Callithrix jacchus: one gene and its partners. The protein of the gene in region 1 purifies or fractionates together with the protein of each later gene. This does not show direct contact. Links are inferred from orthologs where the notes say so. Each region holds a gene or a part of one and is shown in the gene's direction. Other genes may lie near its edges. The genes, in order: HDAC5, PRKD1 and TBL1X.

The links.
Region 2: the proteins of HDAC5 (region 1) and PRKD1 purify together in Homo sapiens (affinity purification with western blotting; 4 studies listed by BioGRID, with this or other methods). This does not show direct contact. The link is inferred for Callithrix jacchus from reciprocal best matches to the Homo sapiens genes HDAC5 and PRKD1.
Region 3: the proteins of HDAC5 (region 1) and TBL1X purify together in Homo sapiens (affinity purification with mass spectrometry; 3 studies listed by BioGRID and IntAct, with this or other methods). This does not show direct contact. The link is inferred for Callithrix jacchus from reciprocal best matches to the Homo sapiens genes HDAC5 and TBL1X.

Annotation. Positions count from the first base shown.
Region 1 is NC_133506.1:70,958,326-70,962,397, reverse strand, and holds the start of HDAC5 (histone deacetylase 5), read left to right. Parts: upstream 1-1,195; 5' UTR 1,196-1,555; coding exon 1,556-1,706; intron 1,707-2,125; coding exon of another isoform or gene 2,126-2,355; exon of another isoform or gene 2,356-2,488; intron 2,489-3,350; coding exon of another isoform or gene 3,351-3,403; exon of another isoform or gene 3,404-3,576; intron 3,577-4,072. Other genes in the region: uncharacterized protein LOC118153996, read right to left, coding at 2,126-2,355. UniProt on the Homo sapiens protein: Responsible for the deacetylation of lysine residues on the N-terminal part of the core histones (H2A, H2B, H3 and H4).
Region 2 is NC_133509.1:63,838,444-63,842,086, reverse strand, and holds part of PRKD1 (serine/threonine-protein kinase D1), read left to right. Parts: intron 1-51; coding exon 52-319; intron 320-3,643.
Region 3 is NC_133524.1:9,682,927-9,687,208, forward strand, and holds the start of TBL1X (F-box-like/WD repeat-containing protein TBL1X), read left to right. Parts: upstream 1-1,402; 5' UTR 1,403-1,541; intron 1,542-2,023; exon of another isoform or gene 2,024-2,534; intron 2,535-4,282. UniProt on the Homo sapiens protein: F-box-like protein involved in the recruitment of the ubiquitin/19S proteasome complex to nuclear receptor-regulated transcription units. Plays an essential role in transcription activation mediated by nuclear receptors.

The DNA of each region.
Region 1 (4,072 bases):
GGCTCTAGTGAGGTCAGGGGGCCAAGTGGGATCTCTGTACCTGTGGGAGCACAACCTGAGGAGAAGGGGCAGGCCAGCAGTGGGGAGGGCATGGGAGTGGCACGGGTCCTCACAGTGCACCAGCCCTAGGACCCAGGGAGCAGAGCCTATGCTGCCAGGCCTGAGTCTGGCTGGTGGGGAATGGCTGGATGCTGAAAGACTACTGACTCTTCCTAGCGAGGCACCAACCTCAAGTCTCTTCCTACTTGAGCACAGGGTTTATTGTACCTGTTCATAGAAACCCTGGGAAATGGGAGGCAGTGTGGTGTGGTGGGTCGAGCTCAGACTTGAGTCTCGGACATCCCAGCCCTGTCATCTAAGCAGCTGTATGACCCAGGGTGAGTGACCATCTCCCTGTGCCTCAGTTTTCCCTTCTGTGCCTCTCTCCCAAAGTCACCATGCAGAATGAGATGATGTATGTGATGTTCTTAGCACCACACCTGGCACATGGATAGGGAGGAGCTACCTGTGCTGCGAGAATGGGCAGGTGTTCCCTGGTTCGCTTTCCCAGGCTTGGGGTGAGGAAAGGGGACCAGGGAACCCCTGTCTGCCCAGGAAGAATATCCCTACCCCCTAGAAAGAAGCTGAGGCTGAGCAGCCTCTGGAGGCGACACTCCAGAATGAGTGGGAGGGAGCTGCCATTGGCAGGTGTTTGGGGGTCTCTCTGCTGGTTGAAGGACTGAGGAGGCACTCCATTCCTCAGCTTTGTGGGAGGGTAGAATAAGCAAACCTCCATGGGCTGTTAGAACTCCAGGGAAGTTGCCTGTCTGCCAGCCTCTCCCAGACCCTTTCTATTCCTTTACCTGGTCTGGAAGGCAAGAGGGCAGATGGAGGCTTGAGTCTGGCTTCTTGGTCTCTGTCCCCTGGCTTGCTTGCCAAAAGTAGCAGTCAGAGCCGCTCCCAGATGCATGGGTACCCCAGCCAGCGCCCTTCCCCAGCCCAGCCTCTGGCCACCTATCGCTATGGCCTTGGCCCTGAGTGCAGGCCCTCCCCCGTTCCCATCCCCCTCGCCTGGCGCTTCCTCCTGGGGTAGAACCGCCTCCCCCCCATGGGGCCTCCTGGCAGCCGGCCCGCAGCTCCCTGAGCATGCTCCACCTATTTATAGACAGGGCCCTCCCCCAACTGCTATTTCAGTCTCCTGCCAGCTGCCGGCGGTGGCTCATTCGGGAAGGAGGAGCAGGGAGCCGGCCCAGAGCTGTCACCCAGGATTGGGAGGGAACACAGAGAGCCCGCCTGCCCGCTGAGCTCCCCTTCCTGTCCCAAGTGCTCAGCCATACCCCAGCTCCCGGGAACCAAGGAAAGGCTGGTGGTCGGATACCCCTTTAGAGCAGAGCTGGGCCTGCAGCTCTTGGGCCTCCCTGCCCCTCCTGCCGTCAGGAGTGCCCAGGCCGGATGAGGCACTTCCCCACAGTACGCGTCCCATTGGCAGTGGCCTGAGGGAACCCCTGCACAGTGCGGGCCACCTGACCACCTTTCCTTGGGCTGGCTTTCCGCCTCTGGCGGTCCCCTCCCTGGCATGCTGCTGGTGCCCAAGGCTCAGGGGCTCGTGGAGATGCTGCAGACCATCTATGAGACAGAATCCTGTTTCTCAGCAGATGGGATGTCAGGCCGGGAACCATCCTTGGAAATCCTGCCTCGGACTTCTCTGCACAGCATCCCTGTGACAGGTAAGTGCCTTGGTGTCCCTGCCTGCCCTCTGTCATTGGGTATCCTTGTCCCTGGGCTGAGCATCTGGCTCCGAGCCTTGTGCAGATAGCATCCTGTGTAGATCTGTCTTGAGAGTTTCACTGAGAATACACAGGGCTGGGGGATCCCTGCTCAGAGAGGCCCCTGCCCTCCCTGCCCAGAGCCTGCTGCTCCCCTGTGCCCTGCAGCTGTACTCTGCTGCTTCACTTCCAGTCACTTTGGCCTCTGGCAGGGTCAGCATCTGTTGCTAGGGGCTGGGGGTTACTGGAGGATCCTGGCCTAGTTGGCAGTGTGGTCAGAGGGGAGGAAGTGGGTCAGTGACCCGCCTCCTTGCTGCCCGCTCCCCAGGTTTGGGCAAGGGAAGAAGGCGTAGCTAGGTGTCCACAGGAATAAAGCTTACCCCGGCTCCTCTGGCTTGGTTCTTAGGGCTAGAGCATCAAGTCCAGTAACTTCCGCCAAGTCCCCAGCCAGGAGTCTCCTGAGAATCAGACACTTGGGGAGGCTTGGTATAGTTGTGATGGAGTTAGGCAGAGGCTGGCAGCTCGGATATTGAGGGGCTTGGCTGCCTTCGCATCTAGCTGGCTCCCGATATCGCTCCTCTCCCCAGGTCTGGGTTGATTCCCGTGTCATGAGGATGAAGAGGTATTACTCTGGCTCAGATGGGGTTAGGACCCCCTAATCCTGCCACCCTCTCAGCAGTAACCTTTTTTGCCTCTTGGCTAGGGGTGGGGTCCCCCAGAGCTGGGCTACTCCTTCCCTCACTCCCGGCAACCTTTCGGCAGCATCAAGCCTTTCTGGCACAGCCTCCCCACCAGGCCGGCACCACAAGATGCTTCTTCCAGGGAGGGGCCTGCTGGACCCATGCCTGCTTGGCCCCTCCTGGTAGTGGCTTGGCATTCAAGTGTGGGTGACTATGTGTGTGCACGTGTGAATGGGGAGTCTTTGCCTATGGATATGTGGGAGTGCATCCCAAGCTTCGAATTGGAAGGTGGGAACTGTGTGCCTCTGCAGGTCCCTGTGATTTGGCTCTGAGCTGCCCAGGGATAATGTTGCAGTGCGACTTGGATGTGTCAGAGAATAAATGTTTCGGGAGGATTCAGAAGATCTTTGGAACATGGCCTATCATCTTCCTGAGCAGGGATACCCCTGCAGTGTTCTCACGTAGGGGCATGGCCCTGGAGACTAGCCCTGCAGGGTATCCATGCAGGCCCCGGGGATAGGGGCCTTACCCTGGGGCCAGCCCTGTAGGCTGGGGCTGGGATGAGGGTGTAACCTTGAGGACCAGCTCTACTGTGTACCCATGAAGTCCCGTGAGGTAAGGGCATATGCCTGGGAGCCAGCTCCATAGGCCCCTGGGATAAGGAATAAACCCAGAGGGCTGGTTCTTATCCTGGTCTGGAGTCCACAGGGTCAGCGAAAGACCCTGCCTGCTTGCCCCTAGTCCATGGCCTCCGGGACTTAAGGTGGTCTCTTGGAAGGCAGAATAATCACGGAGCATTTGCTTGGGGCAGCTCTACCCTGTGTGGCTTATCAGGTCCACCCATCCTGTCCTGTCCCCTCCATTCCTTGCTACTAGCAGCAGCCAGCAGTTGGCCCAGAGTTTCCTCCTTGGCTTGTTTACTCACCTCTTTTCAGACTGTACCCCAGAAACCTCGAAGGCTGGACCCTGCTCTCTCATCCCATCCCTAAGCCTGGCTGCCCCTGCATGGACCCCCAGGCACCTCCTCTCTCCAGATGCCTGTCTCCCCACACCAGCCGATGTGGGGGGTGGACCAAGCCTTCTGAGTGGTGGCTTGCTCCATGCTGGCAGGAGGGAGGCGTGAGTCACCTCAGCGGCTCGGGGAGAGGGCTAAGAATGTTCCCCCTGCGCAGCTCTGATGCTGTGTCTGTGACGCGGCTAGGGACAGATATAGGCCTGGAGCTCGGCTGCCTTGTTTTTTTTTTTTTTTTTTTTGGACTCTGGAATGTAAATAGATGTTTCAAATAGAAACACTTTAACCTTTGGGTTAAAAAAAATCCACCCCGGATAAACACGGCCATGAGGGCCCGGGCAGCCTGGTGTTTCCCTCCCCACCCCCTCTCCCCGTCTCTTGATCGGTCTCCAGACAGGATGCAAGAGCCTGGGGCTGAAAAAGCAGGTGTCCAGGGATGCTTCTTTGGACAGTGTGAATTGCACAGGCCTCCCAAGGGGTTGGGGTAAGGGGCTTTTGAGGGTACGCCTGCCTGCCACCTCCAGCAGCATCTTGGAACCCTATTTTAGGGACAGCCTTTGCTCTCTGGGCTGTCTTGGTTGCTGCCATTGCACAGCACCTAGCACAGTGCCTGGCACATGGATGAATGAATGTCG
Region 2 (3,643 bases), on another chromosome or scaffold:
ACAAACACAAAATTGTGAACTGAGTATTTCTGCGAACCCTTTTATCAACAGGTGAAACTTTGTGATTTTGGTTTTGCCCGGATCATTGGAGAGAAGTCTTTCCGGAGGTCAGTGGTGGGTACCCCAGCTTACCTGGCACCTGAGGTCTTAAGGAACAAAGGCTACAATCGGTCTCTAGATATGTGGTCTGTTGGAGTCATCATCTATGTAAGCCTAAGTGGCACATTCCCATTTAATGAAGATGAAGACATACATGACCAAATTCAGAATGCAGCTTTCATGTATCCACCAAATCCCTGGAAGGAAATCTCTCATGAAGGTAATACCTTCCATTCAAAAATGATAATGATCTAATCCTTATGTGTTTATGTTATTAATTTAAATGAATTTAATTGTAAGTTATTACTTGATAAATGCTCATTGTACAGTGTCTGCCAGAGTGGAGACACAAAGACACAAATTAATTGGGGTAGGACACATATACATAACAGAAATTAGGGATATATATATATATATATCCATATATTCATATATATATATATATTTCTTTATATATAGAAGTAAGTGAACAACCAGATAGAATGTATTTTGGTACATTTCCTTAGAACTTATAAATATTTATAACTTAATATAATGGTAATGATGAATTATTGTAAAGGCTTACTTACATGTGCCTAGTTCTTTGTTAAAAACTTTTAAATTATTATCAAGACAGGAATGTTATGACATTGATAATTGATATTTGAATGATCATATTACATGTATTAGTTTACTAAGTTCTTTGTCTACTGATGTTGTTTTTAGCATTAAAATATGTATATATTTTACATGGCCATTCCCCTGGAATTTTTAGGTTATTTCTCTGTGTTCAATATTATAACATCCTGATGTATTATTCCTATATTTATCTCTGATAGTTTCTTTAGAATAAATTACCTTGGTAATGTTGCATTGTTTAGAGCCATATTCTTACTAAGTATTTCATTCCTCTTAAATAAAACACAATTGTTTTAAAAGAAGTTACAGGGGCTTACAGGGCAGAGAAAGTGACTTATTCAGTACTTTGGAAAGGAGTTCCTCAGTTAACATTCATTGGAGTGTATTTAATTCTCATAAAAAATTTCATAAGATAGATGTTACTATTATGGCTATATTTCAAGTGAAAAAACTGAGCAAAAGCAATGACACCACTGCTCAAACTACAAAGCTAGTATATAGCAGGGGCACAATTCATACCCAGGTTGTCTGAACATACATCCTTTCACCACTAGCCCTACTTCTTTTCTAGTTTACAGGCAATATCTAGTTCTAGGTTCATTCTGTTTGTTTGAATATTCACCATGTGGAAAGGCTAGTACATTTGTAAACCTCACTTATGTGATGCCTGTTACTGCATATGTCGGTATAGAAATGGGAAAAGAGTATATGAACTGCCTAGGATAAATTAAGTTCTTAGACTGCTAATGGTATTAAATGCCAAGAGCTATCCATTATCAGAGTTTTAAGTTACCATTAGCAATAACCTTTAACATCCTCTAATTAGTTGCAAATCATAGGTAGATGGATATATCTTAAAGGAACCTGTGGCCCACAAAAGAACTATCATGTGTGCCAAAGGAATAATTAAATATTTGTCATAATTCAACAAAGATGAAAAGTAAAGTGTAATTATGTTTCTTTTCCAGGAGACAGAGTAGAGCGAATTATCAAATAACCTTGTGACCAGTACCCTTGATAGGAAACATTACATCTAAGTAGAGCTAACCATTATGCTTGATACTGCTAATCCAGAAATCCAGTAAAATAACTTGATCCTGTTATCAGAATGCAAATCTGCAGTATCACTGAAGCCAATCAGACACTTTCCTGTTGTACAGAAATTGGATGTTGGGAAATAATCTTTATGTTTTTAAACTTTTTTTTCTTGGAGTAGTGGAACAAATGATGTCCCTTTCTCTGCTTTTGTGAAAATTTGACTTACTAAGCAGCTATATAGCCTATTAAGACAAAACATATTCAGGCCAGAAATAAATGTTTATAAATTATGAACTTTTAATTATCACTAATAATAGACTCTGGAGGACTAGATATCAAAGGCTTAGGAAACAGTTTTTGGGAAATCACAATATACGTACTTGGTAGGTAATACAAAAGTAGAGGACAGAATATCAGACGTGCTTCAAAGAACTTGAATGTTAGTTGGGGAGATGAGTTATGTGACATTGGATAATATGATAATTTATTTCCTTGAATTGTTACTAGGTGGAAAATCAGGGCCTCTAAGTTCAGAGGAAAGAGAATCACCATGTACTTAACTAGTTAGAACTCTACTTTCAGAGGAGACAGAATTTAGGCCAGTCACTGAAGAAAGAAAAGAAAGAGACATAGCATTTTAGCAACAGGGAATTATGTAGGATAATTCAAAAGGCATTTATATTTGACTAGGATTTTACTTGGCTGTAGAAAGGTCTAAGCACTAAAAATTTCCTACCATTCAAATAAAGTGATATGGAGATCAACTCAGATGGGAGATAGAACCCTCACTTTTCCAAATGACTCAGTACCTCCTTATGGCTCACTCTTTCCTTGGAGGCACAGGCATTATACTGTTATGTGAACTAAAGCTCTGAATGGCAAAAAGAAAAAAAAGTTATTTAGCTGCTGATGTATGAACAGAACTCATGCTTGAATATAGAGAAAAGTTAGTTAAATTGCATCATAATATCAGTTAAGGTGTCATAAAAGTAGTTGCTGGCTCAGGTTCTATTCCATTATCTTATTGAAAACAAATAATTCCATCATTAGAAGTTATAATGGAGTTGAGACCAAATAATTTTAATTTTAAGCTTGTAGGACCTGATAAACCAGCAAAACTATTAATAGTATCTGTCACAGGGTGGTCACAACTGATATTAGATCAATTTTTAGTCTCAGGATACTTTAAACCACACCAGAAACACTGAGAATTCAGATCCGAGGAAATAAAACTCCAAGTACCTCCATGATTCTGACAAAGATGAATGGTCAACAGTCAAGTAGTTTGAGACAGAGAGTCCTATCTGCCATTGTGAGTAGTCATCCCTTACCTTCTTTGGGCTTCATTTCCTCATCTGCAAAATGGGAAATGATTCCTGCCTACATAATGAGGTTCTAACAAAAACTGACTGAGGTAAAGGTTATGAAAGGCATCTATAAAGGCAGGTGGGGGGTGAGCCAAGAATTTGCATCAGGAGGAGGACAGCAGAACACTAAGCACTTGCCTGGCTGGTAACCAAAGATTGATGGTATCATTTTAGAAACAATGTGAAGGTTTCCTTGGTGTTCTTTGGACATATTGCTAGTTGTATTTTTTCCTGGCATGAAAAAGCAAAAGAAAGTGTTGTTATAAGGTAAGATCTTAATAATATGCATACATGTGTCAGAATTATAGATTCCTTTACTATGTGTTTTTTCTGTTAGTGTAGATGTTGACTTGATACAATATAATATCTCTACATTGGGGTGGTTGTGTAGCATTGTGCTGCTTGATTCGCACAACAATCCTCTGATAAGTGATTTGCTTTAGTCTCTGCATTAGAGAGAATAAAGAAAGGTTTCAAGACCTCGAAATCAAGGATTTAGACTGGAAATCATTTGTCATTTG
Region 3 (4,282 bases), on another chromosome or scaffold:
ACCTCGGGTCCCCCTCCCCCCACAACCAGAACAACAAATGGTCTAGTGTTCGAGGAAGAGCAAGTGAGTTTATAGTTTATACTTCTGAGTGTACCGGGCTCTTAGCACGAAGCTTATTATGTAGTAAAGGAAGGGGCAAACTTATTTGAAAAATATTCAACAAGGCTGACCCAAGAGGTGCTGGGTAGGGGGAGCGGAGATCTGTTTAACTGAATTAAGGTCGCGAGTCGTGGGGAGTCGACATCAAGGTGGAGGGGAGGAAGGAGCGCTGGGGACTTGGGTGCACCAGGGCCAGGCAGTGTAAGCCGTTACGTCAAACACTTAGCAAGGGCCCGAGGGCTGAAGCCTAAGGTTGGGGGTGGGGGTGATGAAGCCCGCTGGCCCAGGTCCCCTAACCTCCTCCTCAGCCCCCACCCCTGAGCTCCGGCCACTCTGACGGGGTCTGAGTTTGTCCCTAAGCATTTCTGGCTCTTCCCGGGAGGTGTTTTGCAAAGGTGGAGGTTCCGCCGGAGTCCCCACTTCTTGAGGTGGGGAAAGATAACTGGGGTGTCTTTTAAAACGCCGATTTTGAGGTAGATACACCCTCGGGCAGGTGGCTGGGGTTCTGTCAGGGAAGCCGGGTTGCTTCCTTTTTGGGATGGGGGAGGGTAACACTTTAGCAGTGACCGAGGTTCCCCTGCCCGCTATAAACCGAGGGGGTGGCCGAGGTTCCTGTCCTCTCCAGGCAGTCGTGGAAAGGCTGGGTTTGGGATGGAATGAGGGTAAGCCTGGGTTCCTCTCAGTCCCACGGGGGCCACGGGGAAGGGACCGGGCCCCGGCAACTAGGGAGAGGCCCGGGTTCCCCTCACCCACCCTAGGCGTGGGGGAGCGGGGAGAGCTGGGTAGGGACGCTAGTCCCCCGACCCAGGGGCAAGGGCTGGGTTGGGACGCGGGTCTCCCACTAGGTTCAGTGGGGGAGGGGCGGGGCTGGAGTCCCTATCCTCGTGGGGGAGGGGCTGGCTCGGGACGCGGCCCCCCCGGGGCGCAGGGGCGGGGCCGGGTGGGACGCGGGGTCGCCTCCCACGGCCGCGAGGGAGGGGCCGGCGGCGGGGGCGGCCCCCTAGGCTGTCCTCCCAGCTGGAGTCCGCGCGCTCGCAGCCGCTCCCCGCGGAGGTCACTGCCCGAGCCAGTCCCTCTCGCCGTCCCGCTCCCTCCCGCCGTCCCGCCCTCTCCCGCCGCCGCCGCCGCCGCCGCCGCCGCGCCCGCCTCAGCGCCCCCACTCCGCGCTTGGGAGCGAGGAGCCGCCAGCGCCCCCGCCCCGCTGCCGCCGCCGCAGCTCTCTCCGGCCGCCATTCGCCACCGAAACTTTCCAGCGCCCGCGCCCTCTCAGGGACTCGGCGGCGGCGGGGCGGGGGCGGCCCAGGGGCGGCGCGCCGCTGCTCCAGGGCGCCGGGCCCTCTTCGGCCGCCACACGGCAGGGGCTCGGAGGCTGCCTGCTGGAGGGAGGTTCGGAGCGCAGACCGGCGCGCGGCGCCGCCACAAGTTGCGCTGCTCGCGGTGAGGTGAGTGCGCGGGGCTCGGCGGGCCGGGCGCTGGGTCCGCAAACTTCTGCGGGGAGGCGGGTTCCGTGCTGACCCTCGGGGGTCCTGCCGGAGGCTCGGGGAGCCCGACGCTCCTCCCGCCCCTGGAACTCCTGGAGGCGCAGGTCGCCAGCTGTCCCCGCGGCGCTCGGACTGGTGTGCGGCGCGCTCCCCGGAGACTGAACAATACCCCGAGGTGGCGGTTCCCCAAAGTGGGGGTAGGAGACGGAGGTCGGCTGGGGGCTCCTTTGTTTTGGGGAGGGGGAGGCGGCCGGTAAGTTTCGGGAAGCACTCCGCTTCTCCTATGGTGCCTCTTTGTCTGCCGATCCTTAGGCTTGCTGGGTTAACCTGCGCCACCGTGGGCTCCGGGGCCCGAGGTGGAGGGCGGTAGCGGGATTTCCCCCTGTTGGGGAGGGGAGCCCCATTCATCCCCGCTACGCGGGCCGGCCCGCCGGCACCCGGTTGGAAGCGCAGCTGCGCGGAGTGGGGCGAGTGGCTGGTGAGGAGGCGCGGGCTCCGCGTCTGCTCAGTTTCTGAAGCGCAGAAACTGTCAAGGAAGTCGGGAGTCCCTGTCCTCTGCCCATCTCCCCGGCCCGAGCGCACGACCGGGCTGGGGGCACCCCTGGCCCGTCGAGGGTCTGCAGAGCGCCGCCCGGGGAGAGCGCAGACCTGTTGCTGCTCCTGGGCTCTGGCGGGTCGGGTCGGGTGGGTCTCGCAGATCCGGAGCTCTAGCCTTGCTGCGGGGGACTTTATCTAAGGATGGGACCGGTGCTCGGAGTGCGGTATGGGGAGTGTGCCTTCGGGAGTCGGGGATGGCCGGATCTGTGACAACTGTGGGTCGCTGGAGCCCCGCTAGTGCGGGTAAAGGGCCTGGACTTCACGTGCATCGCCTGTGCGCGGTCATACTGGGGCCAGGGCTCGCTCGCTGCAAGGCCTCGTGTTTCCCCAGCCAGCTGCGTTGGACGTTCCACAAAGGTAGGGACCATCGTTTATTTTCGAGTCAGTCAGTGATGTTCTGGAGCAAAACCTAAAAAGAAACAGAAACCCACCCTCTATTGTATTTGCAACTGTTTCTGCTTTGCATTGTCATGTGTGGCTTGACCTGCCTTCTGGATGTTTTCCATCTCCTGACACGCCGCCGAATCCCTGGTTTAACCTGGAAGGCGACCTCCCTGCTAAGGTCCCGGGCCATGGCTTTGGTGTCGGAAAGTGGCTCTTGACCATTTTACGAAAAGTTTACAAGTCCTACCTAGAAAAGATGCAATTAGGAAAATAAAATCTAGAAAAATGTTGAGTATGACATGCTTATTTTAAAGGGTTGTCATGTCTCAGGTGTGCTGCAGATTTTTGTGGAAAGCCACCAAACTGCGTAACTCATACAAACAACGAAAGTTGTTCACCACTGGATCACCGGCTCTTAAGGCGATTCCAGCCCTTCGGAATACACACACCTGTAGGACTGACATGGAGATGTGTGGCGTAGTGCAGACACCCTCGCTTCCCCACCCGCAGGTATTTTGCCCCTTTACTGGACTCAGAGAACTTCTCCCTGCCAGTAGTTTAAAGAGGAAACAGTTTGCAAAAAATAATAACTTTATTGTAGACACACTTAGAAGTGAATGTTTCAAATTCTGGAGTTTTCCCATCAATTATATCAGTACCACTGGTTCTGTGCATCATTCTTAGTTAGAAGCTTTTTTTCACCTTTTAAGGTGATGAGCAGAGGCCATCTCCAGCAGGTCGTGAGTGTCAGGAATTCAGATTCTCTGATCCACTCCTGCTGGGTAAGAGAACACCTCCGTTAGAACCTGGGCCTGGCCCCTTCCCAGTTTTCTACAAAACTGCCTTGCAGCACTGTCCTGTGGGCCTCCAGGCCTAGCCGATCATCACAGCTTCTCTGCCCAGCCAGGCAAGACCATCCTTGCGCTGCTTTCCTGTTGCCTTGCTTTGCTTTTTATTCTCCCTTAGGAAAAACAAAAAGACCTAGTACGCTACATCCGAGAGGTTGTTAATCTTTCACTACCACATGCATTGACAAATCAGTTTCAGCCAGGAAGCAACACTAAAGGCATATTATAAACACTTTTTTTTTTAGTTGGAAAGATAAACTTTTTCCCCATAACTATTTTTAGTGAGAGGGAGGTAACTGACCTCTTGAGCAGGAGACTGCGCTCGAGTTTTTCCCACTGGTCTTGCCCCTCCACTCCCGCCCTCACTTTCTGTGGGGCTCGACCAAATGGACCACACTGGCCAGACTGGCAAACTTGAAACCTACCGGAACCCAAAGAAAGGCTGAATGTGGGAAGGGGCTGAAGGAGTCACAGGTTTCTAAAGAGCAAGCAGAGCCTAGGCTGTGAACAGGAGTTTCACATCTCCAGGGGAGAAAGGCAGCTGTTAAGGAGTCCACTCGGGCTGCTGCCTGCCTGGCCAGCGAGAGCCTGACTTCAGATGGATGTGCCACCCAAGCCGGCTTCCTTCCAGCGCGGCCATCCCCATCAAATGTTTACAGATAATCTACTGCATGCCTGAAGGTTGCAGAAGTGAATTGGAAGCTGTTAAAAATGGAATTGGAACAAATTTAAAGTTAAGATGAAAGAGAATATGTTGAGTTTTCAGAGGAAGTCGGGTACTGTTTCCTTTTCTTGCCGAGGTTTGTTCTTGGCGGATGGGATCAGAGAGATTGAGATGCGGCGTGATAGGCGGCGGGTTCAGGAGACAGGGAA